Oryzias latipes: one gene and its partners. The protein of the gene in region 3 purifies or fractionates together with the protein of the main gene of each other region. This does not show direct contact. Links are inferred from orthologs where the notes say so. Each region holds a gene or a part of one and is shown on either strand. Other genes may lie near its edges.

Region 1 (3,751 bases), on a different chromosome or scaffold from region 3:
GAAAAGAAACACCAGGAATCGCTTTCCCTGTAACAAAGCACTCGTCATCAGTCTGACGGCTCAGTGAGGAAGCTGCAGCCACAGTGATGACCGGCCGTGAATCACAGAAACAAAGCCACTAAACATCAATGGACTCACATCATCGCTTCGAATGTAAGCAGGACGCTGAAAGCACTGAAGCAACAGGTCTTTGATCTGCTTGTTGTCCTCTGACATGTAATCCAGAGTCAGGAGCACATCATGGAGGCTCCACACTCTCTGAATTTCAGCCCCCTGACAAAATAAAAAGACAAAAACGATAAAGCCACCTGGTCCCAATACTTCTATTTCTGAAGCCGCGCCTCTTTTTTGCCTTGGATCTCATGAACTTCATGAGAGATGTTACTGACTGGCTTTTTTGCAGTGAAGCTCTTCTGCAGAGAGATGAGGAAAGCAGCCCGACCAAACTTTTCCATGTCCTGCAGGCCCTTCTTCCACCAGGCCTCATACAGAGTCTGTATGTGGACCTGCAGAGGAACCCCTAACACAGGAAGCAGCTCCAGGAATTCTGAGGAAAGAACCCAAGCAGAACGTTTTCACTGAGATTCACTCAAATGCAACTGGTGTAAGTCTGAAATTCAGATGTCCAGGATATTTTTTAATGGCTCAAATTAAGTTTTGCAAATAATTGTTTTAAAACATGCTGAAGGGTAATTTTTTAAACATTTTCTTTGCAGTTTAGTTAAGTGTGAGTTCAAGGTCAAGCTTACATGGATGAGTGTCATGTGATCAAAAACCTACCCTGCTGTGAAACCTGTAAAGAAACTAAACAGCCAATGATGCATTTAGCCTAAGATAAGACAACTATGCCATCTAGCTGTGTGCCTTAAAACTAGCAAACTGGACGTCTTTATCACAAACTAAAATGTTTTTTTTTAAACAGAATGTTATGCTTCTGAAAAAAAATCCAATGAAAGTTGGATTGATATTTCAGAGAGAAGAGAAGAAGGCCACCCATTTAGCTTTAAATTAGGTGGAAATGTGAACAATGAAACAAGGCGTGAAGTACATCAACATGATATGTGCAAGGTCTACAAAATTGATTACTTTTATGACCAGAAAATGGAAAATTTTGTTCAACAATCAGGCAGAAAGAGGAACTCTTCATGCTTGGTGGATGTAACACAATATTTGGGCTCATTTTTGTATATAGTGTTGCTTTTAAATCCCCAACGTCTCTGCAATAATCTGTCAAAGGGATTAACAAAAAAATGTTCAAAGAAAATGGCTGTAAAAAACAAGAAACTAGTAGATTTATATTTAAAAACCTTACCATGAAGACTGTGAGCAATCTTTAGCAGTTCATTATAGGTGTCTCCTTCCTGTAAAGTCTTTACAGATGCTGCAGCCACCAGCGTCACTGCATCCACGACAGAAGTGGCATGTTTCTGAAAGAGAAGTTGTGGGATGGATGCATGAGAAGATCTCAACAGATGGAAAATTCCTATAGCTAAATGTGATTCTGTATAAAAGAAATGCAATGTTACAAACAAGTTTATTTAGTTAAGTTTAAGCTTAAGAAGAAAAATCTTTCTGATGAGTAAATTGTCACCAGCACTGCAGCCGAGTCTGGCTCCATGTCCTGCTCCTCTGAGTGCTGTGGAGGCAAATCCTTCAGGGTGTTTTGAAGCAGAGACTCCAGTCTCCCCCACAAAACCTCTCTCTGGTTACTGGGCATCTCCTGCACCACCTCCTCAACGTCGAAGGGCTCAGCTGTGTCTCTCTGCTCAGAAGTAAAAAGAAAACCCCAGGTTATGGAATGGAATCAGATTAGGCGAAAAAGATAAGAAAAAGAAACAACTTGTTTATTAAACTGAAAGGATAAATTAATATTTTGGATATGTGTTTATTAAGAACCAAAAATAGTCTCAAACAATATTAATAATCATAAAACAAATTCTTGTCACACAAAGCAAACTACATGCTATGCATTTAAATAAAAAACAGGCAAAATCTATAATTATTATTATTATCATCATTATTATTATCATCATCATTATTATTATAAAGACAAATAAAAGATGTTTGAATTTAATGAGCTATTTTTTTTAATCTAAATTTTAAATTTGCACACAAAAACAGTAGCTAAAACATTGATATTAAAACTGAAAACATAAAATAAAAATAAAAACCTAAAGCTGAGCAATGCATCATATATAAAATAAAACTTTTTGGCGTCCACGCTTGCTTATTTGTTTTAATTTGACATTCAAGGCTTAAAAATCCAATAATTACAAGTCTAACTAGAATTCCAGAAAATAAATAAACACATGGAATAAAACTACGAATAAACTAAAACCAGTACCTTTTTTGCTTCTTAGAAACTTCATTTTTTTAGGGGCTCAGTTGAAATTAAAAACACCCCACAACATCCTAAACTTAAGCCTTTAAAACAACTGCTCTTTACTTACGTGGAGCTCAATGAAGTGAAGAAATTCGTCCACATTTTCTTTACCAGCGGCTTCTAAAAACGCCTCTCGTTTAGACATGATTGCTCCCCAAATTGAAGATTTCTAATACAACAGAAACACTGTTAGCAGTATTTTAGCGGCTACAGTAAACACAAGCTACGAAAAGGAAAACAAACATGGCCGTCTTCTTCTCTTTAGCATTTGTTAGAAGTTGTAAACAAAAATCTATCCACGTCTGCAAAATGTTTACATTATTGTCCAAAGTCAAAAATTCATATTATTAGTTTTATTTCGTTTTTTTACCCTTTTATAATCCGTTTTGAGTCTCGACAGCCGTGAAGTGACAGCCGACCATTACGGCAGCAATCCCCGCGCAAATTTTGATTCGTTTTTGCGTGATGACATCATACGTTCCTGATCCACGAGCCCCGCCCTCTGACGCCATTCATCTTCAGGGGAAACTGCAGTTCCACCTATACCCCACACGGTGGCGACAAACTACTACAGAAGTGTTATTTCACTTCAATCTAATGCAGAATACTCCATTGCTTTATTTTGTTTTATCTTTTACTCCATTGTTTTATTATTATTATTATTTTTAATCTTTTTAGAAATAAAAGTTAAAAAAAATAAAAGCAGGCTTCACAAGAGTAAAGGATTTATTCAAAAGTCACAGGGCATCATATCATTCAAAATAATAATAGTAAAGAAGGCAAAAAAACAAAAACTGGATTTTTAAGGCACGGGATAGATAACAAGAAATGTATTCAAAGTTTCAAACAATTATAACAACATAACAAAACATGTACAAGCAAAGATATAGATGCATTCTCGGCTTTTTGAAAAATCAATCATTTTTGTCTTCACTTAGTTTCTTCAACTGACATGTTTTTGCACAAGCAAACCCTTTTTGCAGTGTTTGTAATGTACAACATTTGTTCATAGCCCTAAAACATAATTTTCCCCCCATCAATATTGCACAAATCTCCTAAAATATACAAAACAAACATTTTATCATTTGCATACAGTTTGTGCATCCAATGTTTTAAATCTAGCATAAAGAACAATTTTTTTTAAACAAAACAACATTGACTGACAACAACAAACAAAGACTGCTACTTCAGCCTCCCTTTCTGTTCCTTTGGTTAGACTTCATAATAAAATTATAATTTAATTTTTCACATTTTGCTAAACAGGGCAGAAATAAATAAGAATTTCAGCAGATTTTACTAAAAAAATCCCATTTTAAAAATATAATGCCACTAAAACCCCTGTAAAATTCTTGTTATTGTGTATCTAAT
Region 2 (3,651 bases), on a different chromosome or scaffold from region 3:
TGCTCAGATCTAACATGGTCCTCGAACCGACGTGTGTGTGCGCATTTATGTGTGCATGTGTATGTGTGTCCACAGGCATACGCGTGTGTGCATGCATGCGTACCCTCTTGCAGCGTGCGTCCGCCTGCAGTAGAGTCTCTCCCAATCACATAGAGAATGCGCAGCAGCTGCAGGACGTCTTCCACCCCGCAGGCGTTCTGGCTGCAGCCCGCCTTGGCCAGGACCGCCTCCTTCGCCCAGCCCAGGATCTCGCTGCTCTGATTGGCTGAACCCGAGCTGGGGCTCAGACCTCCAGAACGACTTCCAACAACGTGCTCAAAGAGGTCCTGCAGGCAGAAGGAGAGCAGACATTAAACATCCTGAAATGTCTGCTCCACCCCCACCCGCCACACAGACTCACCATCTTCCCGCTCTCCTTCTCTTTGTCCGAGTCTTTGAGCTCTCTGTACATGATCCTGCAGGAAAACACACCCACAGTCAAGCTCTGCCTCTGCCAGCCGTTGGCATTCAGACACTTACGTGTACGTCGGCTCCCAGATGCGCCGCAGCTTGTCCGTCTTTACGGCGCCGTTGCAGGAGAGCTGCAGGAGCCGCTGCACATAGTAGAAGATGGTCAACTTGTAGTTGGAGAGCGGGATCTCCACCTCCCGAGCCGTGCCGAGACCCGCCACCTGGGAAAGATGCAGACCTTCAGCGAACGAGATCGAACGGATCTACTGACATATTTCGGCCATCGGTATCTTTTCAGGTACGTGAAGCTATTTTAAATTTCCAGGAAAGTTGTTGTTGTTGCTAAGCTGATGTTTCTCCTCACATCAACTTTGGTTTGTCAAATCACACCATTCTAAAAACTCTCAACATTTCAGAAAACAAAATCTGCTTTTTGAAAATTCAAAATATTTATAAAAAAAACCTTTTTAAAGAACTGTGGAGATATTCTAGGAAGACAGACGCAGAGCTTCATGCAGGCTTTTGCCGTGTCTCACCTTCAGTGTGAGGGCGAGGTGGGGGGATGGGGCACACTCCACCTCCTCCCGAACCTCCGACCGCGGAGTTCCTGAACCGAAACAGAGCGACGTTACGTTTTCTTCCATGGGTGATGAATACGAAGCCTCATCCCCACAGCGATGACCACATGAGCTTTACCTGGTGGGGGGATCTCCAGGTCGGTGGTCTGCTGGACGTTGGTTCTTCCTGGTCTGGGGTCGAAGGCAGGGACCAAAGCAGAAAACTGTCTTTTTAGGACAAAGTCATCGTCCCATGTCCTCCTCCGTCCTCCCTTCGTCTCATACTCCTCCTCCTCCTGGAACGCAGCCCACAAGCGCAGTTGACAGACTGTTGGCTTCGGTGTGAACAAACGAGGAGCGAGGAGAGCAAACAACACACCAGGACCTCCTCATACTCCTGATCCTCCTGATTGTCGTCTTCATTCTCATCGTCGTCGTCGTCGGGCTCTGGGAGGTCCTCCTCATCGTCCAGCTCTGCTAGCAGCGTGTTGGCCCGGCAACTGTCCAGGAAGTCTGCAGGACATCCCAGGAAGCACAAAGAGAGATGAAGAACGCTGAGGAGATCCAGCGAACCTCCAACATCCACATTTAGAAGAAGAGACGCTTCTATGTCCTGATCACAACCACTAATGAAAATAAGAGTTTTTGGGGGTTTTAACCTGTTCTTGTGGCAATTTTCTGATAATGGAAGGCAAAAAACTAAGCTTAAAATTAAATTCTGGGTATTTCTTTCTTCTGCATCCTGTGATTCAGGAACAGACAGGAAAAAGCGGTTTGAAAAAGGTTGCATTTGTGACATTGAAAACACTCTGGGCAGGGCTGCAAGCTTCCTGCTTCTAGCTCTCAACAACAGGGAGAGGGGAAAGGGGGCGGGGATGCTCTGCACCAACAACCCACAACACAGACGTGAATTTCTAATGAACTCCTGTGGCTCTGCAGAAACTATGTCCTTGAAATCAACAGTTTTTTTTAAGAGTTTGGCCAAAAACGCCATCGTCGTGATGAAAAGACCACTGGGAACGCTTTGGAAGTGGATCCAAAGTGGGGTTTAATATTCCAACGACAACGACTCGGATTTCAATTCTCACTTTGAGAAAATGTAAAGAACAATTTAAGACATAAAACTATCAAGAACAAAAAAGTAAACGCATCGTTTATCAGCCTCTAAGGATGCGTTTAATCTTTTTTTTTTAGCTCAGACTGTTGTTAGGGAGCAGGTTAGTGAAGCAGGCCGTGTGTGTTCATGTGTTTGTGTGTTTTAGTGGGTGTGTGTGAACAAACCATAGAGGGAGAACTCGGCCTCCTGTCCCGTGTCGCTCTCGCTGGATGTGGAGGTTAAGCTGGTTGTCAGTGTGTTGCTTAGCAACTGTCCCACAGACAGCCCCGTGGTGGCTGTGGCTACATTATTACCGCAGGTTACTATGGAGGTTGACATGGTAACGGTGGAGGTGGTGCCAGTGGTGGTGAGGTTAGGAAAGCTCTGAGCGCCCATAAGAGGAGATGCTGAAAACAAACAACAGCAGCAGTTAGTCGTTCAGAAACCGAAGAGTCCGGTCAGCTGACAGGAAACAGCTGAGGGATCTCTCAACCACCACAACAAGAAAAGCAGCTGTTTTATGGGGAAGACTTCCTGACGCCTGTGTCATGTGATCTGGATTGGAAAAATAAAGTTCCGAATAGAGGATCTGGGAGCTTCGACCACAACCCTCCTGTTAGGGTGAGGAGGCTTCATCACACTGCTCTTCATTAGTCTTCATCAGTAATATGTTAGTTTAAAAACTATTATAGGTTATTCAAGACAGTAGTTCCCAAAACCCAGGCCACGGACTGGTGCGTAAAGAAAAAACATGACCTACATTCTTTCCTTTTTGTTTATAATCTGATTCTTGAAGTTTTATTCTGGAAAACCACTGGATTCTAGACCATGTCCGACATGTCAAGTGGCTCGATCACGTGTCCGCCATCCGCTTCTTTCTTAAAGCGGCTGCTCCGACGCCTAAACGGAAGCTCCTAGCTAGCAACGTTGACGAAAAACCAACATCTGGAAAATTTCTTTTGGCAGAAAAGATCCAGTGAGGAAACAGAAGAATAACCTTCCACTTCAAACTAAAAGAAATCTGTACTAAACAGACAAAAACTTGGAGTCTTTATTCTAAATATGGATTTATTGCAACAGTTGTTCCCACAGACCATAATATTATGCATAATATTCAGTAACTGTAACTGTCTAATGTTATAAGAATGCTGCTAATAAAGTTGTCCAAACGGTGGGTTCAAGTTTATTTGTATATTTAGAAAATACCTGGTTTTAATGACCATTTTTAAAATCATCTCAATAGTCAGACCAGTTGTAAAGTGAGGTCTGATTTTTAGCTTCCACTTTGACAGTTTGGGGTTTCGGGGAAATCTAGATCACATTTTATTGGCTCCTACATGAAATCTAGTCCACAAATAAAGTTTACAGCATCTGCAGATGTTTTACAGAGGTGAAGGTGAACTATACCCTCAAAAGTATTGAGACTTTTCTCTCCTGCTTTCTGCCTGAAAGCTGCCCTGATCCCTCCAGAGATGTGAATGTGTGATGAAGCTGGTACTCACTGGCTGTGCTCATCACGTTCCTGCCCAGTGTGTTGGTGTTGTTGTC
Region 3 (3,751 bases):
TTCTCTGGAAAGCTGTCTTCGTTTTTCCATCAGGCTTTCTTCTTTTCCATCTGCAGCAGCACAAACACAAGTTGAGTCACTAAACAGGCAAAAGCTTTTACAACATTCGTCTTTTATTTTCAGGAGAATGCTGCACCTTCATAGTTGAGTTTGGCCAGCTCCGCCTCCAGTTTCTCTCGGCTGCTTTTGACGGCCTTAAAGGTGTCCTGATCTTTCTTGTAGCCGCTGTCCATCTTCTTCATCTCCGCTTGTTTGGTCTTCAGCTCTGCCTGGGCATGCTTCAGGGTCATTTGGGCCTGTGCAAAGATGGAAATGGTTGGGTTTCGGATCAAATAATTCAACGGAGAAGCAGCAGGTGTGCAGGACGTCAAGCCACTGCACATCAAAAGTGTCTCTTTTCTCCACCTGCTTGGCCTCTGTGTCTGCTTTGCTCATCTCGTTCTTGCAGGCCATCATCTGCCCAGCTAAAGTGGCTTCCTCGCCGTCCTCGTTGGTAGAAAGACCCGCCGACACAGCTTTGAAATGCTGCTCAGCTGCCTCAAGTTCAGCTGTGTTTTTCTGTCCTTCCACCTGCAGTGCCTGAAGCTGTTCGGACAACTTGCTCACTTCTTTTTCCTTCACCACGAGCACTTTCTTGTCCTAAAAAGAATGACCGAGACCAATAAGCTTGATAAAGTAAAAATCTTGCAGCCACCAATGAGAAGCACAAATGAATCCATTACCTCCTCCATGCTCTTCACGAGCTCTTTCCTCTTTTTGGTTTCATCTTTCAGATTCTGCTTTTTTAAGTCGAGACTGCTCTGAGCTTTGGCATCCTCACGCTGCACACTTGCAAGAGACATCTCCAAGGTTTTTAATTCTCCGTTTACCTCCTTAAAATAAACACCAAAAGTGTGTCAGAGCCACACAAAACATACAAATATTTTTTTTCTTTTATTTCTCTTTCAGTACCTGGTCATTTTTCTTCTGAAGCTCTTGAATCTGAGCAGAAAGCTCCTGGATTTTGCTCTCATTCTCTGAAACTTTGGCCTGCATCTTGACAATGTTGCCTTGCATCACCTTCAGATTTTCAGCCGACTTGACTTTAGTCTCCTCGGCACACACAAACAGCCAGGCCACATAAAGTCGTGACAAGTGCTGGATCTCACGCATCAGCTTCTGGTACTCCAAATAGGAGGATCTTTCCTGTGCATCAAAGAACATTTAAAGCATATCCTTAAATCATTACACAAATGTTGAAATAAAAAATAAATAAAAAACATTTAGCTCACCTCTTGCAGCTTTTGCATAGTTGGAGTAATCTCTTCATCCAAAATCTAAACGTCAGGAAACATAGAACAAAGTTTGCAGCTGCTTGTTTCCCCAAAAACCACAAGAAACTTGAATAACAGATGGTAGACATACAGTCTGAATCTCTCTCAGCTTGGCCTCTTTCTTCTCAATTGTTCTCTGTGCACTGATCTTTTTACATTCGTACATTCTGGTGCCTGCTGCCTCCTCAATCATAGCAAGAATCTAGAGACAAATAGTATATTAGTACTAACAAAAGTGTTTCTATTATACTTTTTTTTTCATCAAACAAAGTACATACCTCTGGTGGTTTCATATTCAAAACCTTGGTTATTCTTCCCTAAATAAGTAAAAAAAAAAAAAAGACCCCAAAGGTCAAACGAATGATTTTGTTTAGCAATTTCTGAAAACTCTCAATGTTTAAGATGCAAAGCTGACCTGCATGATGAGGAAATGAGGGTTGTTAACGTTGAGGCCAACAGAGCAGAACAAGTCCTGCACCCTGGTGTTGTTGGCATTGACCCCATTGATCAGATATTTGTTCCTGCCTCCTATGACAACCTTTATGAAGAAAACGTTTGTGATCAAGTTTTAAAAAATGCTTTATAAATTGGGATATTAAATAATTGTGTACTTTCCTGACCTGTCTGGTTACAGTGATCTCATCGTGGGTTTCAAACCCCAGAGGGCTCTGGCTCTTATTGGAGTTGTCAAAAGTAATAGACACAGTGGCCTTGGTGATGCCACCCTGGCCGTTCTTGTAAACCAAGTCCTGAAGGTTTGAAGCTCGAACCTTTTAAATAAAATAGAACAGAATTACTGTTTTTTTTGCTATTAAAAGAAGGCAAAGCTGCTTTTTTTTTTACTTTAATCAATGGAAACATGCGGAAACGTCCTTACGTGTGAGAGGTTGGAAATCCCCAAAAGGAAACATATCGAGTCCAAGATGTTGGACTTGCCACTGCCGTTCAGTCCCGTGATGGCATTGAATAGCGGGTCGAAGCCGTTAATTTCTGTCCTCTGTGCGTAAGATTTAAATCCTTCGATAATTATTGATTTAATGTACATCGTTACTTATCTTGTCTTGCCGAAACAAACGCCACAGAAAATATCCGTTTCAGCGACAAGTCAGTTAAAAGAAAAATGCGGCGAGCAAAGCAACAGCCCAATGTTTATATCAAACCAAAAGACTGTCGTCTAACTTGAATTTTGGCGGTAAACACACACTAAGAAAACTTTCGGTCGACAGTAGGCCATTCATCATGCCGGAGTCAAAACAAAAAAATCCATATGTAATATAATTTGACAGAAAATTGAAAGAAAATAAACATAAAAGACTTGGTCCGTAATTTGCTATAATTTATTCAGACCAGTTCAATTATGTTTATTTAAACGTTTTGTCAATGCATTTTGTAGGCATATACCGGGGCAGCTAAATCCCTAAACCATCGGGTGATTGGCGCACACTGTACTTTTTTAAAAATACTTTATTGTTTAACACATGTAGAACAAGTATGCAGGACAACAACATTAGCCATAACAGTGAGAATGCCACAGGATTATGAACAGTATAGGACTCCATAATACTTAAGGTTAAATTCTTTATATCTGAGTTTTATTGTCCATTGTGGTTAAAAAGCTGACCCACCAGTAGGATATCTTTATTAAAACAATTATTGTAAAATAATGATTTGTTCTTGTAAAGTATATACGCTATTCCAAACAAAAGAGTTATGAGGGGAAAATTTGTGAGTAAGTGCCCATGAAAGAAGAATCTGTCTGTGAAAAGCAGAGTTTAACTGGGATTTTGTCAATATTATAATGACAAAGGAGAAAAAAATGGAGACCATGTGTTAGCAAAAATGTGATGAGGGAAAATATTCCAGATGGAAAGTGGAATTTTTAAATATGATTTAATCAAGTTTATTTTAAAGTATTATTTAAAGAAGTAAAATTTAAGAAAATTTAAGCCTCCTTTTTTATAGTTCATTAATACAGATTTTTTTTAAATAAATATGATTTTTCCAGATGAAATTTAACAACATTTGGGCAATAGATTTAAGAGTCTGATTGTCCAAGTGTAGAGACAAAGCAAAATAAGTAAGTTGAGAAATCCCTTCTGCTTTTGAGAGTAGAATCTTCTTTCTCAAACTCAACTCTCTTTGAAGCCGTTGGTTAAAACGTTTTGGGAACGAAGTTTTTTTTTTTTTTTTTTTTTTTTTTTTTATTGAACAATTGCAACATACAAAACAAGAAAATACAACAATTATGCACATATAATGTACAATAAAATTCTAAATACAGAACAAACATGTTGCATTCTTTAAAAAATACTAATTATTAATAATAAACACAAAAGGGAATAAGAAATAAAAAGAAACAAAAAAAAAAAAAGAGAAAAGAGAAAATGCGAGAGTAAATCTATGTCAGCGGTCCAAAAGATTTACAGATGCTAATTGTT

What was found.
Region 1: the proteins of smc2 (region 3) and ncapg2 purify together in Homo sapiens (affinity purification with western blotting; 4 studies listed by BioGRID and IntAct, with this or other methods). This does not show direct contact. The link is inferred for Oryzias latipes from reciprocal best matches to the Homo sapiens genes SMC2 and NCAPG2.
Region 2: the proteins of smc2 (region 3) and hectd1 purify together in Homo sapiens (affinity purification with mass spectrometry; 3 studies listed by BioGRID, with this or other methods). This does not show direct contact. The link is inferred for Oryzias latipes from reciprocal best matches to the Homo sapiens genes SMC2 and HECTD1.

The regions. Positions count from the first base shown.
Region 1 is NC_019878.2:19,855,965-19,859,715, forward strand, and holds the start of ncapg2 (condensin-2 complex subunit G2), read right to left. Parts: upstream 2,860-3,751; 5' UTR 2,754-2,859; intron 2,553-2,753; 5' UTR 2,529-2,552; coding exon 2,451-2,528; intron 1,763-2,450; coding exon 1,592-1,762; intron 1,428-1,591; coding exon 1,313-1,427; intron 548-1,312; coding exon 390-547; intron 274-389; coding exon 139-273; intron 28-138; coding exon 1-27. UniProt on the Homo sapiens protein: Regulatory subunit of the condensin-2 complex, a complex which establishes mitotic chromosome architecture and is involved in physical rigidity of the chromatid axis.
Region 2 is NC_019880.2:2,616,791-2,620,441, forward strand, and holds part of hectd1 (E3 ubiquitin-protein ligase HECTD1), read right to left. Parts: coding exon 3,606-3,651; intron 2,511-3,605; coding exon 2,289-2,510; intron 1,521-2,288; coding exon 1,387-1,520; intron 1,304-1,386; coding exon 1,147-1,303; intron 1,058-1,146; coding exon 987-1,057; intron 672-986; coding exon 520-671; intron 456-519; coding exon 401-455; intron 327-400; coding exon 104-326; intron 1-103. UniProt on the Homo sapiens protein: E3 ubiquitin-protein ligase which accepts ubiquitin from an E2 ubiquitin-conjugating enzyme in the form of a thioester and then directly transfers the ubiquitin to targeted substrates.
Region 3 is NC_019859.2:11,204,984-11,208,734, reverse strand, and holds the start of smc2 (structural maintenance of chromosomes protein 2), read right to left. Parts: upstream 2,518-3,751; 5' UTR 2,359-2,517; coding exon 2,191-2,358; intron 2,084-2,190; coding exon 1,934-2,083; intron 1,852-1,933; coding exon 1,729-1,851; intron 1,631-1,728; coding exon 1,592-1,630; intron 1,516-1,591; coding exon 1,405-1,515; intron 1,317-1,404; coding exon 1,272-1,316; intron 1,186-1,271; coding exon 952-1,185; intron 873-951; coding exon 723-872; intron 640-722; coding exon 406-639; intron 297-405; coding exon 137-296; intron 51-136; coding exon 1-50. UniProt on the Homo sapiens protein: Central component of the condensin complex, a complex required for conversion of interphase chromatin into mitotic-like condense chromosomes.